Lonchura striata: one gene and its partners. The protein of the gene in region 3 purifies or fractionates together with the protein of the main gene of each other region. This does not show direct contact. Links are inferred from orthologs where the notes say so. Each region holds a gene or a part of one and is shown on either strand. Other genes may lie near its edges. The genes, in order: APBA2, KLC1 and CLSTN1.

Region 1 (7,024 bases), on a different chromosome or scaffold from region 3:
AGGTCTGCAGATTAGTCAGTACACAAAACTGGATCATGTTCTCACAAGCTCTTAAAATTTGATGGGATCAGACCCCCTTACTTGTCTGGGTATGTGCTACAGGACAGGAGAATTTCCCCTTCTGGAGCTGCAGACTTAGAGAATAGCCAAGGGAGCTACAGCTGCATATGATCTGAAGACAGCTACAGCTGAGAGAGGTTTCCTGGTTATAAACTTAACTCCCTTAGACTTCAGTAGGAACAGAATCAACCTCTATCAACTGTGTAGTCCTTCACCTTAAAGCAGGCAGCCTATACAAGTTGTTGTTCTGACTTACCAAGGGGTTGGGACAAGGCTTACTTACATAGGCCTTACTCTTTGTCACTACCATGATTATAAGAGGGGAGTAACACCCAGAAAAACTGGAAGTTCAGGGATGGAAACTGGGGAACAAGAGAGCTGTGATTTGCTCCTTTCAGTGGAGGGGCATTTAACAATACACTCCTGTTGCATCATTTTACAACTTCTGGGAAGAACAACAGTGATTCAAATAACTGGAGCCTGATTATCTTGGAAGGGAAATAGTTTTTGACAGTATTTAATCTTTTTTGGTTTTTGTCTGTTTGGTGGATTTTTTAAAACAGCAAAACCTTCTTCTCTGATGTCAAGCTTCTCAGAAGATGGAGTGTTAGTATTTTGCCAGTAAATTTTCTCATGCTTTTGCCACTAGTTAAGTGCAAGTTCCCTGTTCTAATCTCTCCATGTGCCTCTTTTCCCCTCTGAGCTGAAGCGTGTTCCTATTTTATACTGCCTAAGGCAGACAAGATACATTTTTCTGGACTCCATCAACATTACTCAGGCAGCTAAAGAGCTCATAATTAAATGATGCAAAATATCTTTTTTTACTTCCTCTCTGCAATCCTCAAGTCACTCCTAGGTGGGAGGAGGTGAAGAGGCTGCAGAATGAATCCCATTCCTTATGATGAGACAAACCTAGAAGCAAACTTAAAATGCTGTGAAAAAAACTAACTTTATGCCTTTTAAAAGCTAACCTTACAGTTTTGCAATTCTGCAAAAACTCTGTTCCTGTCATGCTTATTCTGCAATTAATGCACCCGAATTTCATTCTGAATTCTGTTGCTTTCATTATTACCATATCAACCTGAAGTCTCATAGAAAGACCATGAAACATAGAGATGCTTACATTATCTGGTTGAGGTACTTACAGTAGGAGTGTATGGACAGTGACACTTCATTTGACTCTGTCCTTACAAGGAATTCTTCCTGTAGTGATGTGAGATGGGTGTGTTGGATGTAAGAACCCTTAACTAATAGAAAAACTCAGAATTGTTTCAATATCAGTTCTTTTACCAAAGCACTTGTCATGCTGGCCAAATTGAGGCTGTCAAACAGAATAAGATCATCAAGTTCAACTAGTTAATGAATATGAAAATAGGAACTAACAACAATATATAAATTAATCAACCTAGGGCTGACATTTTGCAATGGAAGACCTCAACCACTTAGGAATGCAAAATCTGTCACCTTTGACAAGCATCTTCAAAGCACCTTGAACAAATTATGAAATAAATATTTATCTTATTGTGAAGGAGGGATATTTATATCTTGTATAATCCTTAAATATCTATAATATTATGTAAACTGTTAATGTTTGTTTTCACTGTCTGGTATATTGTCAAAAAGCACTGCTAACTGCAATGTTCTTAGCATAGTAATGAGGAAGAGTTCTCTGATACATTTTAACATAATGATACATTTTGAAACATTTAATAACTTTTCTAGATCTGAAGTGGCCTTTCAGCTGTTACTGCTAAAACAAAAATAGTAAATAGGTATTAAAATCTTCTATAAAGTAGATATTTAATGAAAATTTTTACTTATTTTTAACATTACATTTTTTTCAGTAATAAAGACAGGTTCAAAACATAATTTTAAGATCTGAAGTAATTTGCAACTGCAGGTACACTGAAAGCATGTATGATGATGCACAATTTGCATTAAATAAGGGGAATATCCAACTCTGCACCCATGGCTGGCTTTTATGGAAATGATTATTTCCAGAAATTGAAGAGTAAGAGAGGTATGTTCCAGGATTGGTATTATGCACCCTATTTTTACCTTCCATTTTGGTATGTAATTTTCTATAATAACCATCTGTCTGAATCACTGTCTCCAAAATGATGTGGAGGGAGAATGTTTGTTAGAAACTTAAATTTTAAAAAGTTAAAAGATACATCCCACTTCCTTTGGGACCTCTGAAGTCTTTGAGAGGTCAATTGTGGTACAATACCTGCAACTGCCGTAACTTCATAAAGAAAACATCTGCCCTATTGGGCTGGAAATACTGCTTTTGGTATTTTGATAAAGTGAGACTTTATTATGTATAAGAGGCTGTTTCATCAAGTTAACAATTTTGATAATTAATAATTCAAAAGATCACTTGCCAAATGCTTAAACAACCTGCCTATAGGTTATATATGTAGATACACTGCAGTTCTGTGTAAAACATACATGTATTACAGTTTGGGTAATGTTTTGAGTTTTCAGTATCTTCAAAAGAAAACCAAAATCTGTCCAGTAATTGGGATATAGAAAGGGACAGATGGGAAAAGACACCATAGAAAACCATGCCAGAAAATAGCCTCTTAGCAGCAAATGGAGAGTCTTAACAAAAATCTTAACAACTAAACCTTAAAAATCTTAACAACTAAAAAAACCAAAACAAAACAAAACCACAAAAAGGTGTTTCCATGAAGGACCTTTGCATGTACATGGAATGTGTCTTGATACTAACACGAGAGCAAAATGAACAACCCCACGCTGAGCACACAGCTATTACCGTAAACACTGATACCTAGCTGGTTGTAGTGCAGTATCATTACATTAGGACAGCTTTTTACTTTTGCTATAGTGAGAAAGATTAGCTGCTATCTCAAATTTGCACAATTATTAGCAAAGCCTGTCAGAATTGCTCTAAGATATGTGTTTCTTTATATACAAAATAGTCACTATCACCTAGCTGCCCTAAAAATATCTAGAGGTTTCAATAAAAGGCCTGAGGAACCAACTGTGTTTATCATCCACTGTAAGAAATGTTCTTGGAGAAACTTCAGTGAGCTTTTAAATAGTACACATTGAATCCTACATTAAACTTTAGGGGTGGATCTATGTATTATTTGCACAAGGGCACAAAAATCATGATTTGTCCTCATAAATCTGGCTGTGTGATGGAATGTGACTGAGTCCAGTGCTGTCCCTTGCTATAATGGTCAAACTTTTGGTGTTTGGGGCTTTGTTGTGCTGAAGCACCTCAAGCAACAGGGAGAGGTGAGGTGAACACCTAGCAGGATGACACGGCATTCAGGAATGTAATTCGCAGAGAGATGCTGTGGAGACTCCGAGAAAACATCCTCAGCTCCGGCCCAGCACCAGAGCAGATCCCTGGGGAATCAGGGTGGCCCTGCCGAGTGCCACAGCGGGATGCGGGCGTGCAGCAAACAGCGCTGCGGCAGCTGCTGCCCGGGGCTCGGGAGCGGAGCTGGCGGGGCCTGCTCTCAGTGCCCGCGTCCGGACACGGTCACCGAGTCAGGACTGCCCGGGCTGGGAGGCACGGCCACCTGGAGCAGGTGACGGGAACGCGTCCGGCCGGTTCCGAGTGTCTTCAGACGGGGAGACCCCACAGCCCCCCTGCGCAGCTCTGCCAGGGCTCTGCCACCCTCAGTGTCAAGCTCTCCCTCACGCTGAGGTGAAACTCGTGCTTCAGTTTATGGCCATTGCTCCTCGTCCTGTCGCTGGACGCCTCTGAGGGCGCGGTACAGGCGGAGCTGGCGCAGTGCCCGGCCGCCGGTGCGGAGCTGGAAGGCGGGCGGGCCGGGGCGTCCCGCCGAGCCCGCCGGGCTGCGCGGGGCCGCGGCCGCCCCCCGCTGCCGCCGGGGCCGGGAGGCGGCGCGGGCGCTATGCGCCATGCAGGTTCCCGGGCGCTGGCGCAGGCAGGTTCCCGGGCGGGCCCGCCGCGGTGTGCGGCGCTCGGCAGCCACACAAAAGAGCGGCTGCGGCTGCCCCGCTGCTCGGGACCGGCGCCGCCGCTGCACCGCGGTAAGGACGGGGGGCGCAGGGCGGGGGGCTGACCGACCGACCGACCGACCGACCGACCGACCGACCGACCGCCGGCCGGGGTCGTCGCGGGACCGGCGGCTCCGTCGCGGGTGGGGCGGCAGCATCCCGCGGGTGCCCTCAGGGGAGCGGGGAGCCCCCGGGCACGCGCCCGCCCCGCGGCAGCACGGCCGGGGCTCCCCTCGAACCGGGGCTGGGGGCTGCTCTCCCCGCGAGCGGCTACCCCCGCCCCATCCCATCCTCATCTCCATCCTCATCCCCATCCCCTGGCAACCGAGCTGCCCGCAAGCGGACGGGAAGCCGGGGTGAAGGGGAGCCCCTGCGGCATGGCGGAGCGGCCGCGCTGTCGCGATGGGCGGCGCGGGGCCCCGGCACCGGGGGCTGCCGCACTCCCGCTTGTCCCCGCTGAGCCCGGGGAGGCGCCGCCACCGCCCCCCGCCAGGCGGGGGAGAACCGGCGGCGATCCCCCGGGCCGGGCTGCGGCTCCGCTCGGCTCCCGCAGGACGGTGCGAGCTCCGAGCCCGGCCCGGCCGCCTCAGCCCCGCCGTGCCGGGACGGCGGCTCCGGGTAACGCGGGCACCGGCCGTGCAGCATCCGCATCATGTCAGCGTTTTGTGGCAGGGCGGGAGGCTTAAGTCCGTTTGTCTTAATACGAGTGAAAAGAAAAGCGAGAGGAGCCCTCCTGTAATGCAGCACCGCTCGGAGTTTGTATTTGGTTCTGGTTTCATGTCTCCACTGTAGCAAAGGGATCAGTCTTTGATCTGCTCTTTCCCCGTTCCCTTAATCATGAAATCTGGAGGGAAAAGGGTGCTCAATTAAGAATATCTGATTCTTGTTGGGATAAACAACATGAGATAGTATAGCACGGTCTGTTTGCCTCTTATTGAACAGTTTTTTGAATATGTGTGTGTGGTGCCTTGTATTGCCATAACAAAAGGGATGGGGGTGGGGGAAAGGAAGGGAATACTGCATTTAGAGCTGCATCTTGGAAAGTCAAAGACTGCCTTATTTTGCCTCAACTGGCAGTCTGTGCTTTCAGATTTACACACTTTGCATCCTCAGAGTTGTTTTGGTGGTTGTTGCATGCTAGTGAGGACATACAAGAAAAGAAATTTAACTGAAGAGATCATACAACGTGTATAGTACAGAGATAATGTGCATTGCAGTGATGTTTAAGAAAAGTCTGAAATTACTGTGACCAGTTGGAAAAATGCAAGTAGTTTTTTCAGTTGTATTACTTGGCCCTATAATCTCCCAGGAGGGGCTGGGAAATCTGTTTGCAGAAAAGGTATTTATCTATTATGCCTGCTACCCAAGAATCCCTCATTAATTAATAAGTAGAACTGAAGAAAAGAACCAATTACTGTCATAGTTTTTTGTCGTTCTGTGTAAGCCTCAGCGTTTCAAATATAACATTGTTTTAAAGGGGAGGAATTCTAGTTTAAGTCCTTATTGCCACTTAAAATACAGTATATGCAGGTTATGTGTTTGAGAAGCAAAAGATTGACATTTATGTCAAGCATAAGATGACAATTTATCATTATCATCCTGGTTCTTCTCCATATGGGACAGACAAGATGAAAGAGCTTTTCTTTCATACGTTGTTCTATGAGAGCTAAACTGCTGAAATTGAAGCCACTGTCCTTAGTCCATTTCATAAGTTCATAGGATTTCATGCTGCAGAACTGTCCTTATAAACCCTGACTGTCAGTTTCGAAATCTCTGATAGTTTAGCCCATATCTGCACTTGGAAATATCTGAAGCTATATTAAAAATGCATAATCAGCTACATTATTGCTCTCTCTTGATCCTCTGATAGTAAAGGAAAAGTGTTCTTGCAAAAGCCATAGATGCTCAGCTCTTTTGGTCAAAGTATTACAGTTCCAAGGAGGAATCTCGATAAGCATGTTTTGTGTAGATACTTGATTAATGCTGGTTCAGGCTGGGGACTGGACATGAATTAAAACAAGCTAGGTCTTTGAAAAGTGACCTTTGCTTAAGGCTGTGAACATGAGAAACCACTTCAAGAAGCATAATTTTGCCATCTCTCGAGCTGTTCTGCTAAGAAGATTTGCTAAGAAGTAATTTGTGAAAATACCATGGTTTAACCATCTTTCAGTTAATATTCCTGTGCTGAGGGTGGAGAAATTAGAAAAAGTAACCTGTTCCAAGCTACCAGCTCACAGAGAGATATAGAGGATTCTGGTTTTGTTCAGAACTAATCTTGGTGGTAGCCTTTGAACACATCAGAGTTCAGGTGCTTCTGCAGAGTTTTTATATCCATTTCCCTTGTAATCTGTGTTTAAATAAACAAGGCAATTATTTCATGCTTTAAGCACTGCAATGGTAGAGGCTGAGAAGCAGCCCTGCCAAAAAGGCCCAGAGGTCCTGGTGGACAGCAAACTGGACATGAACCAGCCACAACCCCTGGCAACAGAGAGAGCCAGGAGCATCCTGGTCTGTATGAACAACAGTGCAGCCAGGACATCGAGGGAAGTGATTATTCCCTTCTGCTCAGTAGGTGATGTTTATAACCCTGGGTCCAGTTTTGGTCCCCCAGTAAAGGAAGTTATTGAAGACCTGGGGTTCTGCAGAGGCCATTGAAGTGGCTGGGGCTGGAGGCTGAGCTCTGAGCAGAGGGTTAGGGAGTGGGACTTGATCAGCCTGCAGAAGGGAGGCTATGGGGGCACCTAACAGCAGTCTTCCAGTCCTTATAAGAGTTCCTCAGGGAACTGGAGCCAGGCTCTACACAGTGGCATGTGCCAAAGAATGAGAGACAAAAGGCATATGTTGAAATAAAGGTTCAGACTAGATACAAGTAAAATACTTTGCCCCACAAGGACAATCATACATGGAGACAGGTAGCCCAGAGAGGTTATATGGTCTCTGTAAAGACCAGGCTGGATAATTC
Region 2 (6,934 bases), on a different chromosome or scaffold from region 3:
GATGATGATGGAATTGGTCCATTTTTACAACAGTTGTGTCATACTGAACAACACCCTGGAGGCACACTGACTACAAAGAATGTTAATTTAACTAGACTTAGCATGCTTGTCCCCATCACTGTCCGTGATGCTGCACTTCAACAGTGAATACAAAAGTACACTTTGCTTATTTATGAATTTACCCAAATTTCTGTATTTTTTACTCCGCTTACGGAAACTTTATTTGACAAGTATTTGTACACTGAATTGAGTTTTAAAATAATCATGAGCTATGCAGCTGGAGAGATGCTGTTAATCCCAGAGTAAATTCAATTGCACGTCTCCCAGAGAAGTCAAACAGAAGAAGAGATGAAAGAGTAACTGCACAAGCCCACATTTCAAGAGAAACAGAAGCTACATTAAATGGACTCAGAACTGAATATAAGGCTACATTATTTCCCCAAACCCCCAATTAAATAGGAGACATATGCAGATATGTATGCATACACAAAAAGATACAGAGAGAGAGAGAGATATGTGTACTGTATGAGCAGCACATGAGTGAGAGGTCTCTGACATTAGCATGGCAAGTTCTCCATAAACACAGGAAGCAGCAATTGTCCTTATATGCCTTAAACATCTGTCCAGTGTATTTTGTTCTATGTCAAAAACATTCAGATTGTGCTTGGGACTCCTGCACATTTAATTACAAATTATGTATGTGAGTCCTCTGTTGTATATTAGAGACCTTTTAAAATAATCCATTCCATTAATAAGGCATTATTAACCATATAATAGGAATTTGACAAACCATGAGGCTACTTCACAGGGCCTTTGGGGGGTAACTTTATTCTCTGTTTTAATTATATATGGTAGCAAGTAAAGGGAATCTGTGCACTAATTGCTGTTAGAATTTCTGACTACTGGAATTCTTCAGCTCCATCATCATCCTTCAGAAACATGAAGGCTGCCAAACTTGAACTGCAACATGATGCAGAAGTGATACTGCATTGATGAGCCAGTTTCAGGAACAGACAATTTAAATTTCCTGCACTTGCCCACATGCTTCTCCATTATGTGAAATGTCTACCTAAATGGAGCTGCCAGAATTCTCCATAGCTGTTCTAATTTCATGGAAAAGGTCCTCCTGAACCATGTGGTCACAAAAATAATTGCGCAAGTGACTTACAAGGTCTTCTGCTCAGCCTCACCAGATGGATCAGCTTTCTCTCTGCTGCCAGTAAATGCTGAATGTGTAACTTCCAATTGTATCTGTAATCCTAGGGTTATAACATCCTCTATCATGTTTCGCTGAAGCTTTGGAATTCATACTCAATTAAAATAAAGCTATCTTCCAAAAGAGTTTTAAACCAACTGTGCACTCGAAAAGGTGCTGCTTTCAGTTTAGTAGGGATTTTTTTTTAATCAAAATGCGAAGCTGTCTAAATTCTCAACAGCTCCTCTTTATCTTCCAATGGACACACTTTGTACATAAGTTTCCTATTTAAGTGATGAGCAAATGCAAAAGTGGAAGTGAAAGAGACAATTACTTTGCAGAGCAATTTTTGTTAAACCTTTTGTCAAGCACAACACAGCTAAAACTGAATCTTAACTGGTTTAGTTTCTTCTATTATGTCTAAACATGAAAGCATGTTATATGAATGACACTGGCTCACTATTTTGCTGTTCAAATCAAACTATAAAAACAGACTTTTGCTTTTTCCTAGTCAGTTTTGTTTTCTGAGTCTGTATTCTGACTTCATGACCAGTATCTTGAGTACTGATACTACTTTTACATCATATCCATTAATGGAAATTACTTAATACAAAAAAAAACTTATTAAGAGCTCCATCACTGATTAGCCACCTTCAAAAGCCACACAAGAGTATTACACTAGGTGATGCCACATTGGTCATTAAAATGTGCTTCAATATGCCTAGAACACAGAATTCAATAAGTGTTAAGAACTTTCCTTATTCTGATTACATACAACTGCTATGCAGATCTATAAATACGGCATCTTGTTACTTAGAAATATCAGAAAGACAAAAGCAAAATGAATAAGGTTTTAAAGTGTCCTTCTAATCAATCTCTGCTCTAAAGATACAGTTAGTTATCAATTAAATAAATTCTATATTTTTGCTAGATTAACGCGTTTCTAACCAATGCTTGCCTTATTCTGAGGGTGCAGAAATCCAGGCAAGACCTAAGTCTATATGAATCGCCTCCGACTACAGCAAGGCAGGTGACCTACAATGTATAAATCCGGTCACTGTGTACAAAGCCCAGAGAAGACCTGTCCTCGCCTCGCCCTCCAGCAGCTCGGACCTGGCAGCGGCAGAGCGCGGAGCCGGGGGAGCGCAGACAAAGCGCCGCACGCCCGGGGCCGCAGGCCGAAGCCTCCCCAGCCCTCTGCCCGCTCCCTCCCAGGGCGGCGCCCGCCGCAGCACCGAGGGGAGCCGGGAGAGGAAACGGGGACAAAGCCGAGCCGATCCCCATCCTCAGGCACGTACCCCTGCCCGCAGCCGAGCGCAACTGACAAAACGCCCAAAAACAGCCTCCCCAAAAAGCCACCCCGCCCTGGGCGCGGAAGGACGGGGCCGGCTGTCAGCGGCGGCGCCGCGGGGGCACCGGGCGGCCCGCGCAGCCTTTTGTTATTTGCGCAGCGGCGGATGAAAAGGGAGGGGAACTGAACGCCCCAGGCACCCGCACCCAAACACACACGCACATACACACATACACACATACACGCACACACACACACACACAAACCCCGCGTCCCGGCCCTGCGGCTCCCCCCGCTCACCGCTCGGTGCTGCAGCTCGGGCGATGTGCGCAGCGCTCGCTGGGGCGGCGGGGGCCGCGCAGCCCGGGGCGGGGAGGCGGCCGGAGGAGGATGTCAGCGATGGGCGGGCGAAAGGGAGGAAGGAAAAGGGTTTTTTGGGGGGAGAGAGGAGCGGAGAGAGGGAGGGAAGGCGAGAAAGAAGCGAGTCAGCACCACGGCGCGCCCAGTGCTCCCCGCAAGGCGCTGCAGGGCCGCGGTGGTCGGCGCCGGCGGAGCGGGCGCTGACAGCTGCCGGCAGCCGCCACCACCGCCCCGGCTGCTGCTGCTGCGGCTGCGGCCGCCGCCCCGGTCCCGGTCCCGCCCCGCGCTCCCCTCCCTCCTTCCCTCCCGCCCCGCCTGACATGGCGGCGCCCCCCTTCTCCCACAAGCGCCCGCGCGCCCTTCTCTCCCAGCGCCCCCCTCACGGCGCCATCCCTGCCCGGGAGCGGCGGCGCCGCGCGGGATGCTCGGCGCAGCTCCGGGCTTCAGGGGCATCCCCGAGGCTGCCAGTGCAGCCGCGCTAAACCTCGCTAGGATTTGCCTCAAGTGGATGTCAGTGCAGAGCAGATCCCGGCGTTTCCTCGGGGCGCCCTGGGTGACACCGGGGCGGTTTCGCTCCACTGCTGGTGCTCTTGGCGCTGGTTTGACCTACTCCCGTGGAGAGAAGTTCAGGGTTATGGTAACTGCAGGACTCGTGAAACTGATGTCCCCATCTCAGTTGGATGCCTCTGGGAAAATCTTCCACGCCCTTTAAAAAGGACATTGAGGTGCTGGAGTGTGTCCAGCAAAGGGCAGCAAGGCTCGTGAAATGTCTAGAAAACGTGTCTTATGGGGAATGGCTGAGGGACCCGAGTTGGTTTGGTTTCAAGACGAGGAGGCTCAGGAGGAACCTCATCATTCTCTGGAATAGGTTGCCCGGGGAGCTGGTGGAGCCACCACCCCAGAGGTGATAAGAGGCACCTGGATGTGGCACTGGGCAATGTGGTTTAGTGGTCATGGGGTTACAGGGGCAGTGCTGGGTAGATGGTTGAACTGGAAAATCATGAGGGTCTCTTCCAACCATGACTTCATGAAATATGCTTGAAAATCCCCGCAGTTTGCAACGGCTCAATGGAGCGAGTCACAGAGAAATAAGCTGAAGGAGAAGTACTGTGTTAAAGGTTGCCCACCACACAGAGCTCAGTGAGTGTTGCCAATATATTTCAATGCCTTCATCTTTGTTCTGCGGGGAAGTAAGTGAAAGGTCCCTGCTCTTACACATATTTATACATGAAAAGTAAGAGTTCCATGAGAACTCAGTGACACTTGTCACAAGAACTATTTATTTGCAGCTTCCAATTTCATTCCCACTCTTGCTAGAGAGGAAGGAACAGCCACAGTATTTTCATGTTATGTTCCACTAGTTAGACGTTAAGCCCAGAAAGGAAAGATGGAGGGAACTGAGGTATAAGATAGAAAAAAAATTAAAATAACCATTCAAAAACCCAAACAAACAAACAATACAACAAAAACAAAGACCCCCCCAAAAAAAAAACCAAGCACTCAAAACATTAATTATAGCAAAGCTGTAAAATGTACACTGTAAATCATCAGGGATTAGTGACAGCCTAACTTTATGAAAGAGTTGTATTGTGATGCATTATCACCTGAGCTCCACATAGAATAGAATAGCATTGTTCAGTGGAAGGGGACCTGCAATATGTACAGGGTGTGAATCATAACCTAATAGAAGAACATAGAGGTATAGTGGTAAATCAAAATATGCAGCCTCACCTAAGTGGTAATATTTAAAGTATTAAAGGAAAGCAGAGCTTGCATATGTTTGCCCTCATGTACAATGCTGAGCAAGTCTACAGAATAGATGTGAGAACAAGAGTCGGGTGAGAAAGCAAGGCTCCTAAGAATAAGCAGGAAGTCAGAAGAGGAATCAAAGCTAATGCTGTTGTCAAAGAGGCAGAAGAACAGGAAGAGTCACAGAAGCCCACAAGAAACAAAGCAAAGTTAGGGGAACATAGATAGTCTTCAGACTGTAAATACAGAGAATCATTGCTGGATTTGAAAAGCTGAGGGAAATAAAGTATACTTACTGAATTCCACTCTCTGATTGATATTTTACACAGATCCAGCTGTCCAGCAAAACCCAGTTTTGATACAAGTATTTCCAAGCAGCAGTTCTTGTATTCTTCATCTCAATTTAAAACTTTTCTCTGGCAATTTTATATTAATGGTTTAATTAACCACATTTTAGTTTTAACAGGCAATACAACCTAATTATAACAGTGTGAAATATCTCTTTGCACAGTAATACGAAAGGGGGAAAAAGATTGAAGGGCATTCCCTTACAGAAACTACATTTTAAAGAGTTATACCAATTGGTTCACAGGTTCAGAGTATTCTCATGAATATGCAAGAGCTTTAATTAAAAATAGAACATGCCCTAATTACATAATTATGCAAGAGAACTGATTCAAAGGAACCACTCCTGCCTTTTGAATAAACAATATTCATTGCTTTCTTCCTATCACACATTTTCTTTAAAAGATTTCCTGCAATTAGCTGCTTACCCCAGGGATATGAGCATCCCTGAACAAAGCAACTACTCCAGCTATGACCCTGATTCATAATATGCTGGCTAATCAAGTATATGCATCCTGGCAATTTCCCACATAAACAGCACACACTATAAGCTCTCTCCTGCAGGAAGGTTGATTAGCTCAATGGAACTATAGTGCAGTTTACTCCTCTGTGTTTATGGCACACAGCAGAAGCTAGACACAGGAGAGACTTGGTGAAGATGATTTTTCCTCAAGCTACTGCCTGACCTGAAATATCCAAAGAGTTCCTCTTCATTTGGATCTTGTTTTTCCTGTCTCATCTACATGAGAATTATCCAGGTTCATCTAGCAGTAAAAACTATTCACTGCCCACATTTCCATTTTATCTTAAGGAACTGGTTATGCTGCAAGCCCTGATTTTTTGATTAAATTATCGAGATATGCTGTCTCTAGTATATTATGAAATCACAGAGTCAATTAGGTTGGAAAAGACCTCTGAGATTATCAAGCCCAACCTATGACCTAACACAACCATGTCAACTAGACCATGGCACTAAGTGCCATATCCAATCTTTACTTAAACACCTTCAAGGATGGTGACTCCTATGATCCTTTGCCTATCACCAGCAAAGTCACCATTGTTTTCTGCAGACTCCTGAGTGCATGCCAAAACAAAACCCCAAAACTAATTATTTACAATGCTGGATTCTTTAGTCTCAATATTCCAATTTCCCTCTACTCCCAGAAGAGAGAGGGAGGTTTGTAATGCACAGTGGGAGAGCAAAAAGCAAACAGTTCAACTAATGCAGCACAAAGCTCTGTGGTTTTTGAAGTGCAACAGTGTGAGAAATACACACAGTGAACTGAGGTCAGCTTACCTGACATTCAGAAATGGGGCAAACCTCTAAAGAAATTCAGGTTCACTTCCTTTAAGAAGTGTGGGTCATTTTATTTTACAGTTTGTGATGGGTTGACAGTGGCCAAATGCCACCAGCACACCATTGTACTAAAAAAATACATCCTTCTGTCTTAGAGGATCTTCCCATCCAAAGAGATTTTTTTTTTTTAATCTAATCTTATAGTCTATAAAATCTATGACATAATTTTAGAAATATGGCCACAATAAAGTACTATATTGGAGTAATTTTAACTGCTGCTAAACTGCTATTTAAAAGCATCCTGGCAATAATAAATATTGAAAGGCCAGATTCAGCAATCTGGCTGGTTTTTCATCAAAACCACTTGACAGTTGCATATGTTTTAGTTTGTATTTCCTACAAGAACATCCTTTATGGAAAAGAGGAGACATAAAAACCAGTGCTCAAGACTCAGAAATGTCAAGCACCCAGTCCTAGGCACAATTTTAGCCCAACTCTTTTCTTCATATGTACAATTACTGCATGCAGAGCTACCTTTTTGTGAGAAAATTCAGGCACTTTGGGGTAAAAGGAGTGTGTTTTGCTTTGCTTGACTCATTGTCAAATGCCTGAACTTACCATTGGGAACCTACTGTCAGGCAAGGCATTAATTCTTAGTAAAATAAACACTGATCATGGTCCTGCTTCCCAAGTCAAT
Region 3 (7,525 bases):
CCACACTTGGTTCCAGACTCTTTATTTAAGGTAACCATTTTCTCAATGCAGTTCTAGACTGTTTGAAGTTTGGGCTCTTTCCCTGTACAAATCCCTTCAAACAAGAGGCAAGTCTAATGTCCAGAAGTAACAGTGAATATTCTGCATGTATTCAAAATAATTTGTGATCTGAACTCTAACAAGCAGATCCGGATTTGATGTTGATGCACCCGAGCACGTCCTGCTGCTCCCTGTATTCAGTGTGCATTGCCTGCCTTTCAGGAGCAAGCAAATGCATTCATTTCTCCCTATCACCCTATCTTTCCTGTTCTGGCTGCTCAGCTCCACTCTGACAAGCACAATAAATGTGTCCTCCTGGGTCCTTGCAAGCCAGGCATTAGTCACACTGTGCATTTCAAGGACATCAGGCCGATAGGTTTTCAGCTGAAACAGAAAACATGTCCTGCCAGGAGCCATTTGTTCCAGTTTTGTTGCTTACCAGTAAAATAAAGATCAATGGTTTTTTGGAACCAGAGAAGCAGGTCAGAGAGTAGGAGGGAGATAAGTGGTAAAATGAAGTTGCTGAAGTTAGTTCCCTGAATTTCTCTGAAATAATGGCATGTGGCATTTGGGATAGAATGAGGATCTCTGTCAGCGTGGGAAATGAGTTTCCTCTGGCAGACAGGAGGAACAGGACAGCTCTTGCCTAACAGCAGACAGGACTGGTGCACAGCAGGTCCCACACTGGGTGATTGAAATCAAATTGAGCTTTGTGAAACAAAATGAGAGGATGTTGTATTTGCCGCACTTCCAGAGTAAGTGCCAGTGCAACATCTGTGGTGACAGGGATCAGGATTTCATGTGGCTGCCTCACCTCATCCTGTCTGTATCAGCCTCTCAACTGCCTGTTCAAACCTCTGCCACCCAAGGAAATAAAGCCATTGAATTGATCCTAAAATACAGCCTAAAGAATTGTTTGCTTTACTGAATCAGTGCCTTAGTCACAACTGACTCGGAGGAGTTTTGCTTAGAAAGTGAAATGCCATCAATGCCTTCTCCTTCCTTGGAAATTTCCCAGTTTCAGCATGACTGATTCAGCTGATTAATTCATCTGAGCTGGTAGTGTCATTGTGTAATAAATAAGGTTTACCCAGACATAGCATTTCTTCTCTTAAAAGCATTTCCTCTTCCTAATTCTGCAGAATCAGAACAATTTAAACAAGTCCTGATGGTAACACTGAAACCCCTTCTCACTGTGGTCCATGGTGCTCTGTTTTCTCCTGTTAAAATGCATGATACAGCCCTAGTGAAATGCAAAGCACTTTTAAAATGTTGTTTTGCCACACCTAATGATAACTTAGTTCGCAAAAAATGTTTTAATAGAGAATGTGTATGTGAATGCTGACTGGCCAGACATTCAGCCCTCATCAGATACCTTTACATTGACATTAAAGCTGTGTCCATAGTTAGATTCCTAATCAAAATCCAGTATTTGGGTGAGTACTGGGTGTGTATTATGCCATATATTCATCAATGGGCAATCATCTTTCAACTGATGAGATCTTGCCTAGCAAATCTTTACTAATGGGGTGGTTCTTACTCAGACGGTACATTAGTAAGCCTAGTTTGAGAGTCACACTGTGCTGGACAATCCTCCTCTCCACACAAAAGAGAAACACATCATGTAGCACCCTGTCAGCTGAAGCTGCGTTGGCAGAATGTAAAGACTCAGCTCTCTGGCAACAGATGGGCTACAGGCTTCTTCTGACATGATCTGCCATCCAGCATATGTTAGCCAGGCTGAGAAATCAAGGAGGTTTAGACTGAGGCTTTAGCTTTATTTAAAAAAAGGAGATGTCTTAGCTCTTGCTAGAGCAGCTGCCCTACAGTCCATGGAATAACTGGAGTACCTTGGCTAGGGGAGAGCTGCAGGGCACAGGATGGAACGGGGGATGTTCACTGTCTTGGGCCTCAGGGTGCGGCTCTCCAGGCTCTGAAGACAGAGTGAACAGCGAGTAAAAGCGGTTGGTTTTGGGCGTGGAAGAGGAAGAACATTTTTCCTCTGGATGCCCAAATGTACCAGCTTGTACAGACCAGATTCTGTCACCTCCGAGGCCCGAGTGGCTGCTTCAGGGCAGGTTTCTCCAGGTTTCTCACCTTTGCTTTCTCCCCCAACTCGAGTGTGGGGTGACCAGGTAGTGAGCCCTGGGCTTGCCTCAGGACGGAGGAGGAGGCTTTTCCAGCACAGATCAATCTTGGTATTTAAATTGCACAGGAAATAAGGAAATACCACATCTCTAAGATCCTGAACATTCTGGACTTTATTTTTATTTCGCTGTGGGAGTGAAATGGCTAGTAGGTACAAAGCATAAGTACTCAGATCTAATTATAAAATAAGTTGGTTGCATTTTAATTGTCAAAACTCAAAACTCAGATCATGGTATTGATTATTTTTTCCTTTGTTGAAATATTTTCTCATTGGAATTTTGGATAGTAGAGCAAAGAACTTTTCTGTTATAGGACTTGTTCTGTGTAACTTAATGAAAATTATTGATTTATATAGCACTTGGAATTTTTTCCAAACCAGAATAATATTTTCCTTTGATAGAAGTCACAACACTAAAAGGTTTGTTACTCTGCAGGGCAGACTCAGCGATGCACCAAGGTGTGTTTGTGTTTGGACACATTCCTGCAGGATTGCACTTCTAGAGCTGGGAAAACAGCAAGGCAGGGTGCTGGGTTAATGGTTGGATTTCATGATAATAAAGGTCTTTTCCAAACTAAATGATGCTGTGATTGTTTGTGCCCGATGCTTGTAGCACCAGGTGTTGGCAGTTTGTTCATCCGAGCTGCTGACTGGGCTGTGCATCCCATTCCCAGCGTGTCCCTGTACCTGCCTGCCTCTGCCATCAGCTTTGGGTTGGGTGAAACCCAGCGGTCCTGTCTTGTTTTTCTGAAAAGATGTGTGAATATAAGGGCGAAGGCATCAAAATAGCTTTATATGGGGTTAATTATTTCTTAAATAGCTTCATACGGGGTTTAACTCTTCCCAACGACTTGGGGACTTAATCAGCATTTATTAAATGAGCGGTGTGAGGCTTTGGCCAGGCACCAATTGAAATCAGCAGTGTGAGGCTTTAGAGGGGCACCAGTTTAAATCAGCGGTGTGAGGCTTTGGCCGGGCACCAGTTTAAATCAGCGGTGTGAGGCTTTGGCCGGGCACCGATTTAAATCAGCGGTGTGAGGCTTCGGAGGGGCAGCAGGTCCCCTCAGCCGTGTGAGGCGTTGCGGAGGCCGCTCTGCTCCCTCCCCCGGCCCGGTTCTGTCCAGCCCGCGGTACGAAGCCAAACGAAGCCCAGAGCGCCTGAAACAGCGGCGGCGGCGGAGGCGCTGCGGGCCCGGCGGGCGGGAGGTGCCCGTGAGGGAGCACCATGCCGGTGCTCGTGAGGGAGTGGTGATGCCCGTGAGGGAGCACCATGGCGGTGCCCGTGAGAGAGCACCATGCCGGTGCCCGTGAGGGAGCGGCGGTGCCCGTGAGGGAGTGGTGATGCCCCTGAGGGAGCACCGCGGCGGTGCCCGTGAGGGAACACCATGGCGGTGCCCCTGAGGGAACACCATGGCGGTGCCCCTGAGGGAGCGGAGATGCCCGTGAGGGAACACCATGGCGGTGCCCGTGAGGGAGCGGTGATGCCCGTGAGGGAACACCATGCCGGTGCCCGTAAGGGAACACCATGGCGGTGCCCGTGAGGGAACACCATGGCGGTGCCCGTGAGGGAGTGGTGACGCCCCTGAGGGAGCACCACGGCGGTGCCCGTGAGGGAACACCATGGCGGTGCCCGTGAGGGAGCGGCGGTGCCCGTGAGGGAGTGGTGACGCCCCTGAGGGAGCACCACGGCGGTGCCCGTGAGGGAACACCATGGCGGTGCCCCTGAGGGAGCGGAGATGCCCGTGAGGGAACACCATGGCGGTGCCCGTGAGAGAGCACCATGCCGGTGCCCGTGAGGGAGCGGCGGTGCCCGTGAGGGAGTGGTGATGCCCCTGAGGGAGCACCGCGGCGGTGCCCGTGAGGGAACACCATGGCGATGCCCGTGAGGGAACACCATGCCGGTGCCCGTAAGGGAGCACCATGGCGGTGCCCGTGAGGGAGTGGTGATGCCCCTGAGGGAGCACCGCGGCGGTGCCCGTGAAGGAGCGGCGGTGCCCGTGAGGGAGTGCCATGGCAGCGCTGCCGCAGTGCCCTCAGCGCCGGGGGCGGGGCGCGCCGCAGCTCGCGGGGGTCCGCAATGGGCTCTCCCGGCCACCCCCCGCCCCGCGCCGTTGGTTCGCTCCCTCCCCCGCCTGTGCCCGGCGCGGGCCCGGCCGCCATTTTAGGAGCCGCCGGCGGGGTGGGCGGGGGAGGGAGGGGAGGGACGGTGAGCGGAGCGGCGCCGCGCAGCGCTTCTTCTCCTCCCTCCTCCTCTTCCTCCTCCTCCGCGGGGCCGAGCCGAGCCCTCCGCCCGCCGCACAGCGGAGCCCGGACCAGCGGGGGCGCCAGCCGGGGCTGCGCGCTGCCGTCCCCGCTCCGCGCTGCCATGCCGGCCCCCGCCGCCCGCCTGCTGCTCGCCGCGCTGCTCTGCGGAGCGGCCGCGGCCGCTCGAGGTAACGCGGCTGCGGCGGGCGGGGGAGGCTGCGCGGCGCCTTGGCGGCCGTCCGGGTCGCCTGGCGAGCTGCGGCGCGGGCGGGCGAGGGGACGGTGTCCTTGGCGCCCTGCGCAGGGGAGGGAGCGCGGAGGCGGGCGGACACCGAGGGTTGGGGAAGGGGGCAGGATGGAGCTGCGGCCGGGATGACTCCGCCGCGGCCATTGCACCTGCAGAGGGGACGAGCGGATGGCGGCTCGCCCTCCCGGCTCACCTGCGCCCGGCGGCCCCGAGCCGTGCCAGCCGCGGGGGGCCCGGCCCGGCCCGGCCCGGCCCGGCCCGGCCCGGCCCGGCGGGGGATGCGCGGCGGCGGCGCTCGCTGTGTCCGCCCGCCCGTTACATAACGGGGCCCGGGCGGGCGGGGGGCGGCACTTGTTGCCGGGAGGGTCCAGCGGCAGAGCCGGCCGGAGCGGGGATAAAACCCCTGGGCAGGCGGGCCTGGCTGGGCTGGCGTGGGAAAGCTCCGTGCGGGGATGAGCCGGAGCGGCGCCCGGGCCAGCCCGTGCGGGTTGGCGATGTGAGCGCGGGCGTGTGGCTATTGATTGATCCCGAGGAGCAGCAGCATCATACGCATTGCGGGGCTGCTCCCCGGCAGGCTTCAGTGAGAGGCTCGGAGATGCCTCCTCACCTGAAGGTTACCCCTGGCAGCGGGAATGCTGCTTCTGCAAGATTCAGCTGATCGCATGATGAGATTTAAGAGCGTTGAAAAGCAGCGTACATTAGAAGTGCGGCTGTAAAATGGCTTATAAATACCTTGAAGGGAACTTCTAGATCTGAAAAACAGCTCGTTATGGACACATCTTGCTGCAGTTTCCCTGTGTGGGGAGAAGAAGCTGATGCTGTAGTATGTCTCGAAAGTCCTCTGCCAGCTGTTTTGACAGTGGCCATCATTTACCTGTGTAAGATCCCTCGAGTACAATCTGTTCACCAGCGTTCATGTTATCATTAAATGTAGTATTTACTACACCAGTACACAAGCACAGTGTTTTTGAATTCCATCGTTTGAAATTAGGAATAAGATCAAGATCAAAAAACCATTTTCCAAGAAAGCTGCTTGGAAACAAATGGCAGATTCATGCAGCATTACCCAGGACAGCGCTGGTAGGCAGATTTTCTGCAGCTTGTTGGAGGCAGTACCTGTTTTCAGTCAGACCTACAGAGCTGCTGGACTGCAGGTCCTGATCTGTTTAACTTCATCACACATAACTGAGTTACAGAATGAGGGCTGATTCAGTGTAGTATGTGCAGCTGCCTTAGTCCTTGCAGTGTTTTGGCTGCTGTAGGTAGGCCTGTTAATAATATTATGTGGAGATGCACTTAGTGACAAGAAAAGAAAGCTCTGGGCTGCTTGTTTTTATTTCCCTGTTGTTAGGGAAGGCATTTGTTTGGAAGCATTTATGGTAAGCTTTCCATTTTGTGCTGTATTGCTAGTTTCTTTTTTTTTTTTTCCAAGTACAGTTGAACTTGCCAGTTTTGCCATTCCTGTTGTTGGAACAGGGGAGTGAAAAGTGGTTTTGTTTTGTTGATTGTGGAAAGAAAGGGAAATAGCATTTGGGGGATGTGATCTTGCACAAAAAGCAGGTGTGAGCTAGCTGACCTACCATCTTCCCTGTAGTTATTTTAAGGGGTGCAGAGAGTGATTTTTGCGTTCTAAAGAGGCATTTTCCTGTCCAGCTGGTGCAAAACTCCTAATTGAATTTGTTTTGTAATTGATCAAGTTGACCCAAATATTTCTCAGGTGGTTGCAGTGGAAAAGCAGTACCTAGCAGTGCATTGTGGCTGTGTTTGCGGGTGAAGCAGTTGGATGTCTCTGCCCAGAGCAGGCTGGGGAGTGGAATGGAGCAGCTCCGGGAGGAGGAGGCAGCACAGCTCACTGCTGCTGCTTCCCTGGGCCTGACCAGGCAGAGTGGCAGACCTCTGTTGTCTTGGGGCCCTTCCAGCTCACTGTCGTTTAGGAAGGGTATTGATGGAAGGAAGTAATACTATCTTGAAGAAACTTTGCTGATCTGTGATTATTTCAGGAAGTTATGTGGTGCTGTGAATGTCTTAAATCCAAACCACAAACCACTTTGTTACTACCACAGTCTTGCTGCAGATGTTTCTTTGACACAGGAACAGCCTTTTTAATATAGGGCTGGGGATTAGGTAGGTTCTTTCTCCTTTCTAGAGGCAAGGAAATGTAACACTACCCTAAAGCATTATGTAGAGACAATTTGGCTATTTATGTGGCCTGTTCTTTTTTTGTTCTCCAAGTATTTATGAAAGTAAGAAACCACTGAGAAGAGAGAGAGAGAATTAACCAGTGCAAGACCTCTCTACAATATATAGTGCTTGGGAAAGCATTATATACAGCCATCTGTTCATGTAAACAATTTTAATCTCTTTTTCTGTATGTGTTATTTAAAATAATGCACTGCTGTGGAAACTGAAATGGAGGAGAGATGGTCTGGGCAAGCATGGTTTACACTGCATTTTGAATACTCCTGTGCTGGTTGTCTTCTCCCATGTTACCAGGCTGCAGGTTGTGCTGTCTGTGCTGAGGTAGCTGGAAAAATTAACAGAAACTTCTGAATAAATGTATCTTTGGTTTGAGGTTGTAATGTTACTGCAGACACAAAATAACCAATTGCAAATATTTTTTTTAGGAGGTGGAAAGAAGCTGGGCTCATGGGCTTCAGTGTGTCATGAAAGTCAGAAGGGTTGAAGTTAAACCCAGGTCAGGCCACATCTCTGCATAATGTGACCATCCCACAATTTAGAATTCTGATATTCTGGGTAAAACAGTGTTTCCTGCCATGAAGCCCAAGTACGTGATAGCTGAGTGGCTTGCGGCTCTGAAACTGTTATGCAGAGAGGAAGAAACTTCTGTA

Evidence for each region.
Region 1: the proteins of CLSTN1 (region 3) and APBA2 purify together in Homo sapiens (affinity purification with western blotting; 3 studies listed by BioGRID and IntAct, with this or other methods). This does not show direct contact. The link is inferred for Lonchura striata from reciprocal best matches to the Homo sapiens genes CLSTN1 and APBA2.
Region 2: the proteins of CLSTN1 (region 3) and KLC1 purify together in Homo sapiens (co-immunoprecipitation; 3 studies listed by BioGRID and IntAct, with this or other methods). This does not show direct contact. The link is inferred for Lonchura striata from reciprocal best matches to the Homo sapiens genes CLSTN1 and KLC1.

What each region holds. Positions count from the first base shown.
Region 1 is NC_134613.1:9,538,769-9,545,792, forward strand, and holds the start of APBA2 (amyloid-beta A4 precursor protein-binding family A member 2), read left to right. Parts: upstream 1-3,930; 5' UTR 3,931-4,095; intron 4,096-7,024. UniProt on the Homo sapiens protein: Putative function in synaptic vesicle exocytosis by binding to STXBP1, an essential component of the synaptic vesicle exocytotic machinery. May modulate processing of the amyloid-beta precursor protein (APP) and hence formation of APP-beta.
Region 2 is NC_134608.1:9,984,632-9,991,565, forward strand, and holds the start of KLC1 (kinesin light chain 1), read right to left. Parts: upstream 3,101-6,934; 5' UTR 2,787-3,100; intron 1-2,786. UniProt on the Homo sapiens protein: Kinesin is a microtubule-associated force-producing protein that may play a role in organelle transport. The light chain may function in coupling of cargo to the heavy chain or in the modulation of its ATPase activity.
Region 3 is NC_134626.1:1,483,965-1,491,489, reverse strand, and holds the start of CLSTN1 (calsyntenin-1), read left to right. Parts: upstream 1-4,481; 5' UTR 4,482-4,550; coding exon 4,551-4,617; intron 4,618-7,525. UniProt on the Homo sapiens protein: Postsynaptic adhesion molecule that binds to presynaptic neurexins to mediate both excitatory and inhibitory synapse formation.